Linked DNA regions of Oryctolagus cuniculus. The protein of the gene in region 4 interacts with the protein of the main gene of each other region in a pairwise test. Links are inferred from orthologs where the notes say so. Each region holds a gene or a part of one and is shown on either strand. Other genes may lie near its edges.

Region 1 (3,511 bases), on a different chromosome or scaffold from region 4:
TGGATTAGATCTCTGTTGGGGTTTCTAAAATCTAACAGCTGGTTTTTACCAAGGCAGCTGAGGCCTAGGAGAATGTGTATGACTGCGGGCCCCTTGGGGAGGAATACTTCTTGTACTGAAGGGATTTAGCTCCTGAAACATGATATACCAGAGAAGGACATTTGCAAGAACAGTCATAAAGGAACAGAAGGGCCAGTCATGATCCTTTCTCCAGGAGGAAGCTGACTTCTGTCCTCTTTGGATGAGAGGGAAACCTGGCCTTACTTTAAGAAGTACTTTATTCTTGCTAACACTTGCTTAAATAAGGGTATCACTTATTCATGGTTAAGTTTCTTGCTGCCTAGTACAGATATAAAACTGGAAAAATAAAATGAAGCACTATGTTTCATGCCTTGAGGGACTGTGACTCAGTGCTGGGTTTTCAATCAAGAACTTGTGTGTACCCTTTAATAATTTAGGATAGGATACCCAGAGTAGCTTTTACACCAATAAATGGATGTTTCTTGAAGGTCTGTGTCTTTCTTTCCTCTTAGTCACTAATCCAATTGAATGTGTATTGATTCAGAGTTCTTTTTCAGTCTTTGAATGATAATAGTTCTACACAAAACTAATGGAATTCTCATTGAAAATTTATAAGATATCATTTATAACTTCTTATATTAAAAAAGTTTACTCAATTTTAAGGGTAACCCACATAAAATTAAAAAAAAGGAAAATCCTATTATTTTTAGAGCAATGGGGAAAACAGATAAGCAATATGCATTTTCAGTCGATGAAATAGTCTTCATTCAACAAAATAGTGATTTTTTTTGCCAATAGTAATTGATTTAACGTTGCTACTGTAGTGATTTGTAGTGAATCTGAAAACTATGTAACAGTCAATTTATGAAAATCTAACCACGTAAATTTCGCTATGTCTATAGTTCTGAGATCAAAATGCTCATGTCTGTATCACAAATTTAAATATGTCGTTGTTGTTAAGAGAGATTCCTAATTTGTCAGAAAAAATAAACAAATTGATCTTTTTTATCCTGATTTATAGTGAGCTGATCCAGTTTATTTCAAGTGGTCCTATAATTGCCATGGAGATTTTAAGGGATGATGCCATATGTGAATGGAAAAGACTACTTGGACCTGCAAACTCTGGGGTGGCACGTACAGATGCTTCTGGAAGCATTAGAGCCCTCTTTGGAACTGATGGCATAAGGAATGCAGCTCATGGCCCTGATTCTTTCACTTCAGCTGCCAGAGTAAGGTGTTTTCTCAAAAATATATATTTTAGTTCTATTTTAGTATTGCTAAATGTTTTATGCAAATGTAAAGCATTTCTACTATTGGTGACTTGTGGATTTATGTGGCTGATCTAGTAATGAGAGAACTTTTGACCTTTTGCTTATGATCAAACAAGGTTTTAATGATACAATTAAGTCCCCTTGGGGCCAGCGCTGTGGCACAGTAGATTAATCCTCCACCTGTGGTGCCGGTATCCCATATGGGTGCCAGTTCTAGTCCTGGCTGCACCTCTTCCAATCCAGCTCTCTGCTATGGCCTGGGAAAGCAGTAAAAGATGGCCCAAGTGTTTGGGCCCCTGCACCTGTATGGGAGACCAGAAGAAGCTCCTGGCTCCTGGCTTCAGATCAACGCAGCTCTGGCTGTTGCAGCCATTTGGGGAGTGAACCAATGGAAGGAAGACCTCTTTCTCTGTCTCTCCTTCTCATTTTCTGTAACTCTTCCTCTCAAATAAATAAATAAAATCTTTAAAAAAATAAAAAAATTTTAAAACAAACAATTAAGTCTCCTTTATGAACTGGTAACCTGCTCATAGCCAAAATTGTTCTCCAACTTAAACACTTTTTTCCAAAGACTTGAATTATTGAAAGCCACAGATCTTTGAATTATTGAATTCATGTAAGAATGCTAGTTTATGGGTAGTAAATATTTTTAAAAATCATTTGATATATTATTTCTTTGATTCAGACTTAACAGTGTTTTCAATAAGATTTTTTCATTTTCCTACGATATAGCTAGTGTTTCTAAAAAAGTTTCCCTATATTTATTCGTTATTTTTTTTAAATATAAAGTGTTGCATTGACTTTATACTGAGGTTAAATTAATGAAGTAAAAATTTATTATTAGCATCATGAGAAGTTTTTCAGCCTAATTAAGATGATTCAACCTAGCCATACTTGCAATAACATTATGCTAGACTATTTTAGAATAATGTATTTTTTTCTTGTAATTTCATCAGCAAGTCCTTTAGCTCCACTTTCAGACTCTGAATCTGATCATTGTGGTCAAATTCATTTTTCTGTTTTGCTAGAACTGCAGCAGTAACCTCCTAATTATTCTTTTATCTTACACTCAGTGTTTTAATATGTTCCTTGCCCAGGAAAAATTAAGTATGCCCAATGGTTTTCTTTTTTTTTAAGAGGCTTTTTTAAGAGGTGTTGCTTTTTTTGTTTGTTTTTTGTTTTTTGTTTTTTATTTTACAGGTAGAGTTATAGACAGTGAGAGAGAGAGACAAAGAGAAAGGTCTTCCTTCCATTGGTTTACTCCCCAAATGGCCGCCATGGCCGGCACTGCGCCAATCCGAAGCCAGGAGCCAGGTGCTTCTTCCTGGTCTCCTGCACGGTGCAGGGGCCCAAGCACTTGGGCCATCCTCTACTACCCTCCCAGGCCACAGCAGAGAGCTGGACTGGAACAGGAGCAACCAAAACTAGAACCCGGGCACACATATGGGATGCCAGCGCCGCAGGTGGAGGATTAACCAAGTGAGCCACAGTGCCGGCCCCCAGGTTTTCTTAAAATAAATCAGATTAACATTCACCTGTTGAAAACTCTTCAATTTCTGTCTCTTGGAATAAAATCTAAAGCCTTTATTGTAGCCTCTAATGCTCTAACTGATCTGGCCTCTGTCTTTGTATTTTTATCTTTGACCAGTCTCTACCTTAATCTCCATGTTCTGGGAACACTATCATACTATTCCTTGAATATTTCTTTGTGGGATGTTCCACAAACAGTGAATGCGGCAATGTTGGTCAATTGGAATGAGGGTCGGTGGGGCAAGAGTGATGAGATCATAGAAATAATCAAGGGAGAGGTCGTCTGGTCTTAAAGACGATTGTAGTACTTTCGGCTTTTGTCTGAGAGAAATAGTCGTTTCAGGGTTCTGAGAAGGGGGCTGACATGTTTTACTTGGCATTTAAAAGGATTAGTCTGAGTGTTGCATTGAGAATGGCTGGAGAGGGCAAGAATAGAAATAGGTAGCCTAATCAAGAGTCTGTTGCAATAATTCAGAGAGATGATGGCTGAGGCTGGGGTGGTAGCAATGAGAAAAGTATATAAATGTATTTTAAAGTATTTTAATAGTTGAAGGGTGAACGAGATTTCCTGTCAGTTTGAATTCAGCCTATGAGAAAAAGATAAACAGCAAAAATTATTCCCAAGTTTTTTAGCCTGAGCAACTGAACAGATAGAGTTTATGGGAGCAGAAATTGGCAATCAGTAGGAT
Region 2 (3,940 bases), on a different chromosome or scaffold from region 4:
TACACTGTTTGATTCCTGTATCTAAAGATCTGGAAAAAGCTTCGGAAATGTGTAGTGCCTTTCATTGTTTAAGTCAGAAATGCACCCACGTGGAAGACCCAGACGGAGCTCCTGGCTGTGGCTTGGCATAGCCATGGCGGCTGCAGCCATGTGGGGAGTGAACCACAAGCAGAAAATACTTTCTCTTTCCCTTTCTCTTTCTGTGTCACTCTGTTTTTCAAATAAACAAATAAATACAAGCCCCAAAGTTCTGTTAAGTCTATAAAGGAAAAATTCTTAGAACTGTGTAGAGCCAAGCACAATTTCCACTAAAAATGTTTGAGTGAGTTCCCAGGTCACAAGTAGTGTGGTGATTCACCCCAGAAGGAACGTGAGGTTCGGACTTCACACAGGACTCCAAGTTTAAATCCCAAGTTCCCCGAAAGCTCCTCCCTCCCCTGAGGAGGTGAGGGATCAAAAGTTGGAGGACATGGGGCTAGGGTGGCAAAGCGGGTTAAGCCCCTGTTCCAAACAGCGTAAGTCCTTGGAGCTACTCCAGCTCTGATCCAGCTGCCTGCGAATGTGCCTGGAAAAGCAGAAGAAGATGGCCCCTGTCCTTTGGCCCCTGCCACCCACAGGGGAGATCAGGATGTTGTCCCAGGCTCCTGGCTTCTGCCCCGCCCAGCCCCAGCCTTCACAGATATTTAGGGAGTGAACCAAGAAATGAAAGATTTCTCTCGCTTTTTCTATGACTGCCTTTCATGTGAGTATTTTTTTTTAAGTTGAAGGACAAAATGAGTGTAATTGAACCTCCTTGGAAGAGGGGCTCCTTTTGTGGTCACCCCACAAAACCCAGTCCACTGCCAGGCTATGCAAAAGTATAGGTTCCAACAGGTGTGCAGGCTTGGCCTCCCGCTCACAGGCTAAATGACTCTGAGCACCACCTGGGGCCCCTGCCTTCTCCCAGAGGTAGCTTTGCTCTCCACGAAGCCCCTTGATAGGTAATCCACATTGCCCGAGAGGGAACAGCGGGTGTGAGCATCTAACTTGAACAGGGAACCAGGGCCACCTGCAACCTGCACAGGGAAGCTCGGGCCCAGCCCAGGTCACCGGGTCTTTCTTGCTCGGCCCGAATCCTCAGGATCCGCTTTTCCTACACTACAGGGAGGGCACTTCAAGCCCTAGTGAAACCAGAACTCTAGGCTTAGGCGGAAGCGAACCACCGCACTACAGATTTCCAGGCTTGAAGCTAAAAGTCTATTTGCATCTCCCTCCCTGCCCTCCAGTCCTTGGAAACTTGCAAACCCCAGAACCGCGGCTTTCTGCCTAACCAGAGGGGCCCTGACACCCTCCTCCTGCCCTGGCAGCACCCAGCCACACCGCTTTCGCAGGGAGACTGAAATGGAACCAGCCACTGGACACCCTGGGGCGGGGCGGAACCTCCTTTCCACTCTCTCGAAAGCAGCACCCTTTTCAAACTTGCGCCCTTTGCGGCGCGCCTGGGATAAGATCTGAAAAATGCGCCCTGGGCCACAGGCAGCCGAGGAGGCGGAGAAGGGACCACTTTCCCTCCGCCCTCCTAACCACAGGGCCTCGGCTGGGGCGGCCTCTCTAGGGTCGGGCTCCTCTCTCCCTCGGCCCGGATCCCCAACCCGGGCGGGCCAAGCGGCTGGCGCGGGAGGCACGGGGGACCGGGGAGAGGGGCGACAGAGGGGCTTCTTTCGCTTCCCAAGCCTCGCCAGATGTTGGAAAGGCAAACAATGGGAGAAACGCGGAGAAACAAAAGGCCATTCGCCGCGACCACAGCCGGCTCAGTAGCGCGGTCCCCGCGGGGAGGGCGCTAGGAGGGGCCCGGGAAGGAGGGTGAGGCGGATCCCGAGGGATTTAAGGTCTCTAGTACCTGCCTGGCGCCAGGGTTCGGCCCTTGACCCTCGCGAGAGGGGTCCGAAAGCGGGGAGGAGCAAGCGAAGAAAAGTTGTGAGGTTTTCCCCCTTCCTCCCCGGTACAGGCAAAGGGAGGGGCTGGCACTGCCGAAGCTTGACAGCTGTTGGCCCAAGAGTTCAGCAGGATTTGTAGGTTCTTAACTCACTACCGCCCTCCACGAAGCACCCGCAAGCCCCGGGGCGACCCGGCTGACGGCGCGGAGTTCCCCGACGCGGCCCCAAGCCCAGCCGGACGCTCAAACGTGATCCCCCTGCCCAAGTGCACTTGCCGAAAAGTTGTTCTCGCCACACACAGCCCAGCTCGGCACCCCGCACCCATCTGCGGTTCCGGACCGTGGGAGGCGTTTTCGCTCAGATCTTGTAAAGTCAAGGCCACGGATCCCGCGGTGGGAACTCGACCCTCGCTCCTGCCCGGGTACTGCGCCCAGGGAGCCGGCCGGCAGCCACGGCTGGGGCTCGGTTTTAAAGCGGGCTCTGGCCCCGGAAGCCCCGGGGACTGAGGGCAGGAGAGAAGGGTCCGACACCACCCCCACTCCCCTGTTGCACCCGCCCCAGGTGTACCCCATACCTCTGCCCGCCTGGGCGCGAACGGGAGCGAGGAGCTGCCGGGCTGCGCCGCCTTCCGTCGCCCGGAGCGGTTCTCTCTCACCGCGGGGATTTACCTTCGAGCCAGGGCCCTGTCGGCTCCCTTCACTGGATCAGCTGCAGGCGGCGCGAGAGAAAAGCAGTGAACTCGGGCAGGAGGGGAGACGCTTGCGGATCCACACGAGGGGCTCTGGGGCCAGCGCCCGGGCTCCCGCTGCAGCCGCTGCGACTCCAAAGCAGCCCCAACATGCGCCCAGCGCGCCGCACAGCCCGCCGGGGCTTGACGAGCAGCGTGCGGGACGCCGAGCGGGGACCCCTGGCGGCCGCCTGCGGGACGGCAGCTCTGTGGGTGAGCCTTCAGGATAGTGTTGCCTCGGGCAAGTTACAGGATGTGGGCCTTGTGTGGGGGCTCCCAACTTTGCAGAAAAGACGCTGACCCTTGGGCCAGGGCGGCGAGGAAGATGTTACTTGAGAAAGGAGGCGTTGGATCCACCGCGGCCACTTCCAGACCACCTAGAGAGGAAAGTGTTCCTAGTTCATAGTAGGAGTCATCAAATGCCAGCTCCCTGGTGTCCTGAGAGAAAGAACTGGGTCTTCCTGATCCTTCTGTAGCGTGTCATGCATATTGCCTGAGGAGTAACAAACGACTAAGAATTGCGTTTTAAGGGTCTGTGTTGGAGCTACTTGGAATCTGCATCATGTATCTGAGTGCCTGTGTTTGGGTCCTGGTTCCATTTCAGCCTCCTGTAATGTGCACCCTCGGCAGCAGCAGGTGATGGTTCCCCCGCACTCAGGTGAGAGACCCTGATCAATTAGCTCCTGGCTCATGTGGCCCAGCCCTGGCTGTTACAGGCATTGGGGGTGGGGGTGGGGGTGAACCAACACATGAAAACTCTCTCTGCCTTTGAAATAAATAATTAATAAATACTTTTTTAAATTGCCTTTTACAATTTTTAGGCACACTTTCAAGAGACATGGAAATACATTAAGTAGAATTTAGGATATATGGAAAAAACATGGCTCCCAAAAGAAGCTTCCACAACTACTAAATGAGACTCCAAAAGCCCACATATCTTTTGTGATGGCTGGTCATCTCTGATATTGCAAGCATTTTATTAAATACCATTCGCCATTGGTTTCCACCAGGATCGTATGACTCTATTTAATTCTGCATTATTTGGGCAGGGAAATATATTAATGACTATGAATTTAGAACTCTGCCAGATACAAAGATGCAGCCACCAAGCAATATTCCTGTGCATCCCTGAGAAGTGCAACCTCATTTCCAGACAGCCCTAATCTTCAGATGCTCAAACCCCAGTCACTGCACTCAAAGCTGCTTTTGTTCTTTGGTGCGCATGACAATCAGAGAGCCCTTCATTATCTAGCACAATTAGGATGGAAATGGCCCTTAATTATTCCAGTTTACCTTT
Region 3 (3,511 bases), on a different chromosome or scaffold from region 4:
TCCTGTGACCCGTCCCACAGCCCCACATTTCCACCTCCCATTCCCACTCTACAGAGGAACGAGCCGCACGCCACAGCTGCGGACTTTATCTGGCAGCAGTCTTGGCCCCTGCTCTGCCCAGCCCTTCCCTCCCCAGGTTTCAGACTCGTGTACCTGCAGGTAGGAGAGGTGATACTCCAGCAGGGCCTGGGCATTGCTGATATTTTCTCGAGTGCCAACAAATATGAAGGGAACCATCCCCTGAGAGCAGAGGGAAGGAAAGCTGATCAGGAAGAATAGTAGAACGCCACGTGCTAGCCCCATCCAGTCGCCAGGGGAACCCACCCAATGGCATCAGTCTAGCTCTAAAGTTACTAGAGCGGCTACAGAATTTCTGTGCATCCTCCCTGCCCCCAAAGTCTTAGCCCTCAGAGAACAAGCCCACCTACTTGTGGAAACCAACCTCTAGTCCTAGTTGGCCCATACCTCCTCCCTGGGGTTCTTCTTGTCATTGTCACCTTCCACTCGCACCCTCACCACACCAGACTTATCCACGATCTCCTGGATCACTTTCCCATTCTTTCCGATCACTTTGCCTAAATGGGTAAAGGAGGAATTAGGCCTTTTTTTTTTTTTTAAAGGTAAGGTCAAAACAGCCTCCCAGCCTCATCCTTCTCTCTCTGTACAGATTGCATTTCGTTAATTCTCCTGCTTCTAAGTTGTTGGTTAGGTTTTACAGAAAGGACGGATGTCTGACCCAACAGTAAACTGCTGCTGGGATGCCCATGTTCCCTACTGGGGCTCCTAGTTCGAGTCCCAGCTACTCAGTTTCCAATCCAGGTCCCTGCTAGTGCACACCCTGGGAGGCAGCAGATGATGGCTCATGCATACTTGGGTCCCTGCCTGCCACCCATGAGGGAGACCCCAGATGGAGTTCTGGGCTCCAGGCTTCGGCCTGACCTTGCCCTAGCTGTTACAGACATTTGGAGAGTGAACTAGTGGATGGAAAATGTAATGCCTTTTGGGGCCGGTGCCATGGCTCACTAGGCTAATCCTCCACCTGCGGTACTGGCATCCCATATGATCGCTGGGTTCTAGTCTTGGTTGCCCCTCTTCCAGTCCAGCTCTCTGCTGTGGCCCAGGAAGGCAGTGGAGGATGGCCCAAGTCCTTGGGCCCTGCACCCGCATGGGAGACCAGGAGGAAGCACCTGGCTCCTAGCTTCAGATCGGCGCAGCGCTGGCCATAGCGGCCATTTGGGGAGTGAACCAACAGAAGGAAGACCTTTCTGTCTATATCTCTAATTGTCAAATTAAAACAAAAAGAAAAAATGTAATTACCTTTCTACTAAAATGAAAGTAAAAAATTTTATCCCTAGAAATTTATTCTTCCTTTTTTTTTTTTTTTTATTCCGACTACAGACTTTCTGTCCTTGTGAAATCAAGAGTTACCAATACCCACTACAAGCCCAGAGTCATTTAAGGAGACTCACAACTGGCCCCTAACTACTCTCTTTTATACACACACACCCAACTCACCAACCAGGTTCCTGGGCACTTGCACTGAATCTTCAGAAAACTCCAGGTAGCTCCGAGCCTGTCGGCATGCCTCTGGCGTCTAGGGGAAGAATGAAGTGGCGTCACTAAAACAGGACCTGGATCTCAAATAACGATCTTCCTGTCTTTGGGAAGATATGCTGCCAAGTTCAGCAAAGTCACATAGCTTAGGCTTATTTCCCACTCCCTTCCCTCTACCCACTACAGGATCTTGAAGACAGATCTTTTGCTGACCTCCCCATAGATGCGGAAAGTGCAGGTTTCTTCACCCAACTCAATGGCGGTCACTCCAGGTACTTTTCGGGCCTGCTGGATATTGGCCCCATGAGTCCCAATTGCCAGTCCCATCAGGTCCTCTCGCACTGTAAACTCTTCCTGGAATGCTGCTGCCAGCTGCTTGCTTGTCTGAAAGGAAAACCACTCGAACAATCATGGTGGTGGAATCGCAGAACACCTATGCCAGGTAGTAGACTCTGCGTAACAGAGAAGCATGCTGGGGGCTAGCAGTGTGGCACAGTGAATTAAGCCACCACTTGTGATGCTGGCATCTCCTATCAGAGTGCCAGTTTGAGTCCAGGCTGCTCTGCTTCTGATCCAGCTTCCTGCTAACGCACCAGGGAGACAAGTACCCAAGTACCCCTGCCACCAACGAGGGAGACCTGGATGGAATCCTGGCTTTGGCTGGCCTACCACCAGCCATGACAGCCATCTGGGAAGTGAATCAGCATATGGAAGCACACTCTCCTCCCCCCACCACTTTCTGTCACTCTGCCTTTCAAATAAATAAATCGATCTTTTAAAAAAAAAAAAAAAAAAAAAAACCGGCCGGCGCCGTGGCTCACTAGGCTAATCCTCCGCCTAGCGGCGCCGGCACACCGGGTTCTAGTCCTGGTTGGGGCACCGGATTCTGTCCCGGTTGCCCCTCTTCCAGGCCAGCTCTCTGCTGTGGCCCGGGAGTGCAGTGGAGGATGGCCCAGGTGCTTGGGCCCTGCACCCCATGGGAGACCAGGATAAGTACCTGGCTCCTGCCATCGGATCAGCGCAGCGCGCCGGCCGCGGCGGCCATTGGAGGGTGAACCAACGGCAAAGGGAGGACCTTTCTCTCTGTCTCTCTCACTGTCCACTCTGCCTGTCAAAAAAAATAATAAATAAATAAAAATAAATAAATAAATTAAAAAAAAAAAAAAAACAAAACCACACTGGAGTCAGCTGACCGGTAGGAACTATGCAGAAAATTCAGGAACTTTCAAATAGCAATGGCTTGAGGGGAGAAGAACCACCAAAGTTCTGGATTTGGCTCTAACACCATGTGGTTGTGTGATCCTAGAGAAAACACACACCCTGTGCCTCTGACCTGTCACCTGCTAAGTGGCTACATCTGACCTATACCACTTTCAACACCAGCAAGATCTGACGAAGTTCATGTGATCTGCAAAGTGTAAATAACTAACCTTAACTAAATGAATACCAACTTCTCCCAACAAGTTGATTAGAAAGCAAGAGACTGAGAAAAGAAAAAAATGAGCCTATGGAACACCACATTTCTCAACCAGGGCTCCTAAACTCAAGGGCAGGAAGACAGGAAAATTTCAAATACTCTGCTAATTCTAAGATGAAATACTCCCAAATCAAGAATTTACACTAGACAAGATGGCAAAGCTGAAGAAAAAAGGGAACAAACTGGACGATCAAGCATCACTGAGTTCGGGAAAGATCTACACAGACTTTTGTTTTCTACAGAAGTCTGCACATGTCTATCTTTTATATAGGCAATATTTTGAAATAATTTTTAGAAAATGCAATAGCAAAAAAAGACCGATGAGACCACTACTATGGCGTAGTAGGCTAGGCCTCTACCTATGGTACCGGCATCCCATATGGACCCCAGTTCGTGTCCCAGCTGCTACACTTCTGATCCAACTCTCTGCTGTGGCCTGGGAAAGCAGTGGAAGACAGCCCGAGTTCTTGGGCCCCTGTA
Region 4 (4,305 bases):
GGATTAGAGTGACGGCCACCTTGAACAGCAGCCAGAAGGAGGCAGACCTGTGTAAAAGTGCAGCCATGATGGCTGGCAGACAATGATTGATTACTTGGTGGTGTCAGCACACTTCCATCTCATTCTTCACCAAGACTTTCTGAGCCCAAAGACCTCAGAATTAAGTCCCCCCAGCTCAAGTATTTGGTCTGTGACAAGCAACCAGATGGGGAGGCTGCAGCTGGACTCCACCGTCTCACACGATATCAAGCATAGGCAGGAGGTATGCTCCAGAATTCCATAAGATTCCCCCTTCCTGGACCGGAGCTGAGGCAGAGCAGGTAAAGCCGCCACCTGCACTGCCAGCATCTCCTATGGGCGCTGGTTCAAGTCCCAGCTGCTCCACTTCCAATCTAGCTCTCTGCTATGGCCTGGGAAAGCAGTAGAGGATGGCCCAAGTCCTTGGGCCCTGTACCTATGTGGGAGATCCAGAAGAAGCTCCTGGCTCCTGGCTTTGGATCAGCCCAGCTCCAGCTGTTGCTCTCTCTCTCTCTCTCTCTCTCCCTCTATATAATTATGCCTTTCAAATAAATAATCTTAAAAAAAAAAAAGATTCCTCTTCCCCTTTCTTGGCTGGCCTTCCCCAGGTAATATCATGTGACCCTGCCCCCATGAGAGGAAATAAACATATCCTAGAAATACACCTGGAGATTTCTAGACCAAAACCAGCCCTCAGTCTGGAAGTCTGGAATACAACCAACACAGTCCTGCTAGTCCGTCTCTGAAGCGAGGCCCACATCCTGCACCACGGTATAACCCTGAGAGCGCCTACCGACAACCCCATGTTGACCCCTCCCAGCCTCATCTGTCTACATCTGTCTAGAGCCCATTCTGAAATTCCTTCCACTGTGTGTTAAAGGAGGCCAGTGCAGTCACCAGTGCTCTTCCCAGCTCCTGAGGGTTAATCTGCTTGCAGGGACCTCTTCTGTACAGAGAGAGCTCTGCAGAAGTGGCTAGTTCTCCAAAGCCACATGAGGGCCTGTCCTGCAAGACTTACAGAGGCTGGACTGCAAATGCCCACTGGGCCAAACGGGAAAAGTAAATGACTTTAGTAGGTAAGGGCACTTCAGTGGCGAGTGATGGGGCCAGCTGTGAAAGAAAGAGCACATTTCGTGAGCAAATGGCACACCCCACCTCCTCCCGTCATGCCAGCCCAGCTCTTCCTATCTTAGAAGCAGCCAGATCCAATTTCTTTCTAGGTGAAACCCCCCAAGCAGTTTTAAAAGGCTCCTTTTGAAAAAAAATTTTTTTTGACAGGCAGAGTTAGACAGTGAGAGAGAGAGACAGAGAGAAAAGTCTTTCTTTTCTGTTGGTTCACCCCCCAAATGGCTGCTTCTGCAGATCCAGAGCCAGGAGCCAGGTGCTTCTCCTGGTCTCCCATGGGGTGCAGGGCCCAAGGACTTGGGCCACCCTCCACTGCCTTCCTGGGCCACAGCAGAGAGCTGGACTGGAAGAGGGGCAACCGGGACAGAATCTGGAGCCCCAACTGGGACCAGAATCCGGGGTGCTGGTGCCACAGGCAGAGGATTAGCCTAGTGAGCTGCAGCGCCGGCCTGAAATGTTTTAAAATAAAGCGCTTGGGGCAGGCATTCGGTGCAGTGGTACAGCAACTTAAGTCATTACCTTGGGTGTCTGCACCCGCTGTGAGACTTCCTGGTTCCAGTCCCAGCGACTCTGTGCTTCTGAACCAGCTCCCTGCTAATGCACACCCTGGGAGGCAGAGGATGATGGGTCCCTGCCTCCCACATGGGAGACCCAGGAGTTCCTGGCTCCTGGCTTCAGCCTGACCCAGTCCTGGCAGATGCCAGCATTTAGACAGTGAACAAGCACGTGGAAACCCATCTGTATTTAAGTAGTTCTCTCTTGGTTTATCTGCCTTTCAAATAAAATGAAAATAAGCAAATGAACAAAATTAAAAAAAAAAAAGTGCTTGAAAAACGAAGTCTGCAGCCCCTTCTCGCATCTGTGATTCTAATCTGTACCGCACTAGTGCCCTGTGGACCGGCCCCAGTAACTCCCAGAGCTTCCTCCTCTTCCAGGCCTGGCCCCTCTCTCCTCTACCACCTCTTCTTCCCACTCTCCCCAGCTTCAGCTCGGTGCACCACTCCCTGTCTTTACCGATCTCCATCTCCGGGGCCTCCCAGGCGGGCGGGCGTCGCACCCTCCCATCCCGGGATCTCCAGAGGCCCAGCCCCGCAGCTGCTCTCGGAGAGCCGCAGACACACTTTCCCTCTGGGAACCCGGGAGCCCGAGGTGGGGGACAGGGCCTCGTCCGGAAAAGCAGGACTCACCCTGAGGAACGCAGGGATGGGGATGGGTGAAGGGCACATCTCCCAGGAAGCCCTGCCCTCCCGGTGGGTCAGAGGGGGAAGGCGGGATACAGGCCAGGGACGCGACAGAGATGCGCGTGGTCTCCGGGTGGGAGACCCCTGAGCTCAAGTTTCTTTCAAAGCACTCGATTTTCGGGGGAAGAGGCGCTGCGGACGGAAGGCGGCTTCTACGCACTAGGGCCTGTCCCCGCGCCCTAGGTAGGTCGCGCGCAGCTGCGGTAGGCACTGCGCTTCCCCGCCCCCGCTCCTGGGTGCCCCCCTTCCTTCCCTCTCCCGGCCTGGCCCGGAGCTGGAGCTCCGCCCCCCGCGCCCCGCCCCGGCCCCCCGCGCCTTAAAAGCCGGTGCGCACCGCCCTGCCGCACCCCGCCTGCCCACCTCGCCTTTGCTCCGTACCTCCAGCCGCAGCCGCACGCCCGGCGCCGATCCCGGCACCATGAGCTTTGGCTCGGAGCACTACCTGTGCTCCGCCTCCTCCTACCGCAAGGTGTTCGGGGACGGCTCTCGCCTGTCCGCGCGCCTCTCCGGGGCCGGCGGCGCAGGCGGCTTCCGCTCGCAGTCGCTGACCCGCTGCAATGTGGCCTCCTCGGGCGCCTGCTCCTCGGCCTCGTCCCTCGGCCTGGGCCTGGCCTACCGCCGGCTACCGGCGTCCGACGGTCTGGACCTGAGTCAAGCGGCGGCGCGTACCAACGAGTACAAGATCATCCGCACCAACGAGAAGGAGCAGCTGCAGGGCCTCAACGACCGCTTCGCCGTGTTCATCGAGAAAGTGCACCAGCTGGAGACGCAGAACCGGGCGCTCGAGGCCGAGCTGGCCGCGCTGCGGCAGCGCCACGCCGAGCCGTCGCGCGTCGGCGAGCTCTTCCAGCGCGAGCTGCGCGACCTGCGCGCGCAGCTGGAAGAGGCGAGCTCGGCGCGCGCGCAGGCCCTGCTGGAGCGCGACGGGCTGGCCGAGGAGGTGCAGCGGCTGCGGGCCCGCTGCGAGGAGGAGAGCCGCGGGCGCGAGGGCGCCGAGCGCGCTCTGAAGGCGCAGCAGCGCGACGTGGACGGCGCCACGCTGGCCCGCCTGGACCTGGAGAAGAAGGTAGAGTCGCTGCTGGACGAGCTGGCCTTCGTGCGCCAGGTGCACGACGAAGAGGTAGCCGAGCTGCTGGCCACGCTGCAGGCGTCGTCGCAGGCCGCGGCCGAGGTGGACGTGGCTGTGGCTAAACCAGACCTGAGCTCGGCGCTGAGGGAGATCCGCGCCCAGTATGAGTCCCTGGCCGCTAAGAATCTCCAGTCCGCCGAGGAGTGGTACAAGTCCAAGTTCGCCAACCTGAACGAGCAGGCAGCGCGCAGCACTGAGGCCATCCGGGCCAGCCGCGAGGAGATCCACGAGTACCGGCGCCAACTACAGGCACGCACCATCGAGATCGAGGGCCTGCGCGGGGCCAACGAGTCTTTGGAGAGGCAGATCCTGGAACTGGAGGAGCGGCACAGCGCTGAGGTGGCCGGCTACCAGGTAAGGAAGGGCTGGGCACTCTGTCTCTGCTCGAGTCTGCGCTGTCTGGAACACGGGCCCTGGGAACCGAAGGGAGGGTGAGCGAGAGAAGAGCCCCGACTGGAGGCGCTGGCGAACAAAAAGCCCTGGAGTCTCCGCTCTTAATTCTAGCAGCCTGGAAGCCCTCCTTCTCTGCCCCTCACTTGGATTCCTGTCTGAGCTCTTCTAACAAAAGACCCCTTAAAATTGGAAGTTCTAACATGTATGCTTCTTTGTTAGCAAGTGGGCACACACGCGCTGGCGACCTGCAGGACAGTCCCCACCCCCAATAAGAAGTGAGCCATGGGAGCCGGTGACAGCCTCCCCGCGGCTTGTTTGGTTGACTTTGAAAGGATTTCTGTGAGCCCAGGAATTGGTGTTTCTGGGATATGGTCTGCCTCGGTGTTGGGGGAAGGTTTC
Region 5 (4,080 bases), on a different chromosome or scaffold from region 4:
CGTTCAGTCATCCCTGGAGGCAGAAGGGAGTCTGGCAGCAGTACTGCCCCCACTTCACAGGTGGGAAAACTGAGGATCACACACGCACGGAGCCAATCTGTTGTCCTGGGGTACTGCACCCAGCCCCAGGGAGCTGGTTGAGAGGTGTTGGACAGGGCAAGTGCCTCAAAAGCTTAGGGGGTGCCCGTGTGGCCCTGCACAGGGCTCTGTCTGCAGCAAGCGTGCAGCCAGTCCCCCACCGCGAGAAGGGTCTACGGCTCCCCAGTGGAACCTGTTCTCAGGCACAAGCCAGGAGGGTGGGCCTTTGCGGCGTAGCCCAGCCTGCAGGCTCCGGGGCTGCCCGGGGCCCACACGGCTCCTCTCGAATAGCCTGCCTTGCCATCCACCCTGGCCAAGAAAAGCTGCCAGGAACCTAATCGGAAGCCCACCACATCCCCAAGGAGCGCAGAGCCGGCCGGTCAGCAGGGCGGGTGGGTGGCTTTGCTCTCATCAGCCAGCTACTGTCCCCAACCCCCGAAGGCGGAGGGAGGAGGGGCCGGTGGGGGAGGCCTGTGTGGGTGAGGAGCCCAGACTTGGCTGGCTCTTCGGATTCCTCCCAGCTGGCGGCGAGGAGGAAAGGTCAGGCTGAGCCGAGCGAGCGGGAGCTGGCCACGCTGCAGCGCCCTGCGCAGGACACGCCGTGGACAGGAGGACGCTAAGGGCAGCCCCCAGTGCCCAGCCCTGTCCCCTCCCCGCGTCCGGCCCGCCCCGATCGTGATCACTTAGCATTTAGGCTGTCACCCTCAACCGACTTTTTATTATGGATCAGAACCTCGCGTTCCCGAACCCCAGCCCTCGGCGGGACATCCAGTACGTGTCAGCGAAGTCAGAAGAAAGTTACTTAGGTCGTCATCATCTCAGACAATGCCCTGGCGGGTTAAGACAAAAGGCGGGGGCCGCGGGTCCCGGGGCGGACACCCTGGCCGCCGTGACGTCATCGGGCCTGTGACGTCACCGCCGCGGCGCCCCGCACCCTGCGGGCCAGATGGCGTCACCATCGGAACCTGCGTAAACAAGTATGCGCTCGGGGAGCCGCGGCGAGAGAGAGACAGAAAGAGACAGAGAGAGAGAGACAGCGCGCTGACCCTGGGGCAGGAGCCGGGCCGGAGGTCCGCTCGGCCCCACAGGGCGTTAGGCCCCCTGACGGGCTGGCCCCGCCCCGGGCGGCCGGCGCGGGCCAATCCGGGCGGGCCGCGGCGCCACGCAGCCTATCAGCGGCCAGGGCTCGCCGGGCGCTTCCGCGTTGGGCAGCTCGCCGGCGCGGGCCGGGCCGCACGCTCGGCCGCAGCCCCGCCTGGCCGCTGCGCGGGGCCCGGGCCACCGCCCGCCGGGGCCCGATGGCCTCGGAGGACCTGGCGGGGGCGCTGGCGGCCGTGCTGGAGGGCCGGGGGCTGCGCGTGCACAGCTGTGACTCGGGGCCGGCCGGGCAGCCGCGAGCGCGGCTGCGGACCAACGTCTCCTACGTGGTGCTGGCCGTGTTCCTCAACGAGCAGGTGAGCGAGCCCGCCGGGCCCTGCTGGGCACGAAGACACAACGGCCAGGGCCGGCGCCGCCTCGCGCGTGGCGTTCCCCAGTTCTGCAAAGCACTCACTCACGCGCGCCTCGCAGCCCTGTGGGTGGCCGGGTGCACAGAGGGCTGCGCCCTGGCCCTCGGTTCCTGCAGCACAGAGCTCCCCTCCCCCAGGGCCTAGCACGGTGTGAGCTGGCTCCCCGGGACGTCTGAGGCGTGGCCTGCGCCCCCCCACCCCCACCCCCGCCTGGTTATGGCACAAGGCAGGCTCACGCTCAGATCTGACCCCTTGTCGCTGCTCTGGGTCCCTGTTGTAGGCTGTGAGATAAGAATCAGAAGGGGCCAGAGCCCCAGGTGGGCCTGCATGGGGGTGTTGGGGGGGGATCAGAACCCAGACCCCAGAGTGAGGACCTGCCACTAGGCTGTGCACCCCATGGGGACGCGGGAGACACACAGTGACACAGTGGAGACACACGCGCAGCCCGATCTTGACCCACAGAGAGCAGCTGGCTGCAGGCCCCCCGCCCCCAGGGAGGGGGTCTTGGGCAACCCCAGGGCAGGGAAGGGCCTGGCTGGCTGGCCTCTCCCGTGCGTGGTGGAGAGTGCCAATCCCCTCTCCCCTCAGGACGAGGTGCTCCTGATCCAGGAGGCCAAGAGAGAGTGCCGGGGGTCGTGGTACCTGCCGGCGGGGAGGATGGAGCCCGGGGAGACCATCGTGGAGGCCCTGCAGCGGGAGGTGAAGGAGGAGGCGGGGCTGCAGTGTGAGCCCGAGACCCTGCTTGCCGTGGAGGAGCGAGGCCCCTCCTGGATCCGTTTTGTGTTCCTGGCTCGTCCCACAGGTATGGCTCTCCTGGGGCAGTGCCGTAGCCGCCTTCCTCCGACTCCTCCACCCCCACCCTGTGGTCTTCCGGTGAGATGAGCCCACTCCCTAGCCAGCCCTGTGCTGACTGCTACAGCTCTGGCACTGGCAGACCCTAGCCTGGGGAGGTGGGAGTGGGGGAGGCTCAGCCCCGGCCCCGGCCCCGCTCGGGGTTAGAACCAGGGTGGCCTGCCGGGTCTGTGTCCTCTGTGAGATCCGGTGCTTCTTCCCACCCACACCACTGCTCCTGCCCCCACTCTCCCCTAGGTGGGACGCTGAAAACCTCACAGGAGGCTGATGCGGAGTCCCTGCAGGCTGGCTGGTACCCACGCAGCTCCCTGGCCACTCCTCTTCGAGCCCAGGACATCCTGCACCTGATAGAGCTGGCCGCCCGGTACCGCCAGCAGGCCAGGCACCCTCCCGTTCTGCCCCAGGAGCTGCCCTGCAGTGTGGTGTGCCAGCGGCTCGTGGCCACCTTCACCGGTGCCCAGACGGTATGGGTGCTGGTGGGCACGGTGGGGGCGCCTCACTTGCCCGTCACGGCCTGTGACTTCGCCCCTATGGAGCAGAGGGGCGGCCTGAAGGTGGCCGTGCTGCGGCTGCTCCAGGAGTGCCTGACCCTGCACAGTTTGGCCGTGGAGACCAAGGGGCTGCTGGGGTTGCAGCACCTGGGCAAGGACCATGCCGACGGCATCTGCCTGAACGTGCTGCTGGCGGTGGCTTTTCGCAACCCGGGCATCCAGGAGGAGCCCCCGAAGATTCGGGGTGAGAACTACGCGTGGTGGAAGGTGGGGGATGCAGGCCTGCAGGGCCAGCTCCTCCAGAGGTTGCTGGACTGTTCTGCTGTCCCACTGAACAGATAGGTGCCCTCCCCGAGGGACGCGGAAGCCAGCAATCTGGGCTCGTGCTGCATCGGCAGCAGAGGCTGCTCTGGGTCTCGGGGCCTGCGGGGAGCAGGCTACCACAGTGCATCAGAAGGGACAGTGCCTTCACCAAGCAAAGGGTCCAGAGGTCCAGGGCCCTGCCGCCAAGGGCACACGATGCGTCTCCCCCCCGGGTTGGGGAGGGGGACGCGGGAGCATCCTGGAGTCTCGTTGTTCTGTGTGCACCCCCATGAAGGCCCCGCCCTGGCCTCTGCGGGCACTTGGGGCTCCCAGGGGACCAGGAGGGCATCCCTTGCTGAGTAAACAGGTGTTGCCACCTGCCTTTCCTGCCCAAATGTCTGTGTGGGGAGGACACGAGGGGGCTGCTGCTGTGTGGCCCCCGGCTCAGCAGTGGCCGCCGCCCAGGCCTTTCCCTGACAGTGTGCTGGCACTGGCACCGGGCAGGACGTCACCGAGGGGACCACAGCCCCAAGGGAGGCTCAGCTATAACCCTGCGGGGTGGAGCAGCGGGCATCTGCAGAGAGCTGCCGGTGGGACGGGAGCTGTGAGTGGTGTCCCCGTCTCTGCCCAGCTCCATTCTCCTGGCCCGCCCTGGGCCGGATCCTCCACCGCCTGGCCTTTTCACAAGTCCAGTCCAAGCTGGAAACCCTTTTCTCCACTGCCCCCAGCCCAGGCCACCCATGGTGGGATTTCTTTCAGCTTTGCGAAAAACACAAGGGGAAAAACCACAGGGGACAAAATGTGCCACTGGCTGTGTTCAGGCCTGTGTCCAGCCACGCTGGGGAGGC

The links.
Region 1: the proteins of NT5C2 (region 4) and NME7 interact in binary tests that used the Homo sapiens proteins (3 or more experiments, as listed by UniProt). The two-hybrid records come from large-scale screens. The link is inferred for Oryctolagus cuniculus from reciprocal best matches to the Homo sapiens genes NT5C2 and NME7.
Region 2: the proteins of NT5C2 (region 4) and MOB3B interact in binary tests that used the Homo sapiens proteins (3 or more experiments, as listed by UniProt). The two-hybrid records come from large-scale screens. The link is inferred for Oryctolagus cuniculus from reciprocal best matches to the Homo sapiens genes NT5C2 and MOB3B.
Region 3: the proteins of NT5C2 (region 4) and FXR2 interact in binary tests that used the Homo sapiens proteins (3 or more experiments, as listed by UniProt). The two-hybrid records come from large-scale screens. The link is inferred for Oryctolagus cuniculus from reciprocal best matches to the Homo sapiens genes NT5C2 and FXR2.
Region 5: the proteins of NT5C2 (region 4) and NUDT18 interact in binary tests that used the Homo sapiens proteins (3 or more experiments, as listed by UniProt). The two-hybrid records come from large-scale screens. The link is inferred for Oryctolagus cuniculus from reciprocal best matches to the Homo sapiens genes NT5C2 and NUDT18.

What each region holds. Positions count from the first base shown.
Region 1 is NC_091438.1:29,426,511-29,430,021, forward strand, and holds part of NME7 (nucleoside diphosphate kinase homolog 7), read left to right. Parts: intron 1-1,042; coding exon 1,043-1,250; intron 1,251-3,511. UniProt on the Homo sapiens protein: Possesses an intrinsic kinase activity. Displays 3'-5' exonuclease activity with a preference for single-stranded DNA. Does not seem to have nucleoside diphosphate kinase activity.
Region 2 is NC_091432.1:190,810,294-190,814,233, forward strand, and holds the start of MOB3B (MOB kinase activator 3B), read right to left. Parts: upstream 2,804-3,940; 5' UTR 2,491-2,803; intron 1-2,490. UniProt on the Homo sapiens protein: Modulates LATS1 expression in the Hippo signaling pathway which plays a pivotal role in organ size control and tumor suppression by restricting proliferation and promoting apoptosis.
Region 3 is NC_091448.1:52,159,764-52,163,274, forward strand, and holds part of FXR2 (RNA-binding protein FXR2), read right to left. Parts: intron 1,939-3,511; coding exon 1,768-1,938; intron 1,595-1,767; coding exon 1,516-1,594; intron 576-1,515; coding exon 466-575; intron 241-465; coding exon 154-240; intron 1-153. UniProt on the Homo sapiens protein: mRNA-binding protein that acts as a regulator of mRNAs translation and/or stability, and which is required for adult hippocampal neurogenesis. Specifically binds to AU-rich elements (AREs) in the 3'-UTR of target mRNAs.
Region 4 is NC_091446.1:26,728,709-26,733,013, reverse strand, and holds the start of NT5C2 (cytosolic purine 5'-nucleotidase), read right to left. Parts: upstream 2,803-4,305; 5' UTR 2,763-2,802; intron 1-2,762. Other genes in the region: INA (alpha-internexin), read left to right, coding at 2,803-3,867. UniProt on the Homo sapiens protein: Broad specificity cytosolic 5'-nucleotidase that catalyzes the dephosphorylation of 6-hydroxypurine nucleoside 5'-monophosphates.
Region 5 is NC_091439.1:1,194,113-1,198,192, forward strand, and holds NUDT18 (8-oxo-dGDP phosphatase NUDT18), read left to right. Parts: upstream 1-1,270; 5' UTR 1,271-1,376; coding exon 1,377-1,532; intron 1,533-2,174; coding exon 2,175-2,388; intron 2,389-2,675; coding exon 2,676-3,271; 3' UTR 3,272-3,614; downstream 3,615-4,080. UniProt on the Homo sapiens protein: Mediates the hydrolysis of oxidized nucleoside diphosphate derivatives. Hydrolyzes 8-oxo-7,8-dihydroguanine (8-oxo-Gua)-containing deoxyribo- and ribonucleoside diphosphates to the monophosphates. Hydrolyzes 8-oxo-dGDP and 8-oxo-GDP with the same efficiencies.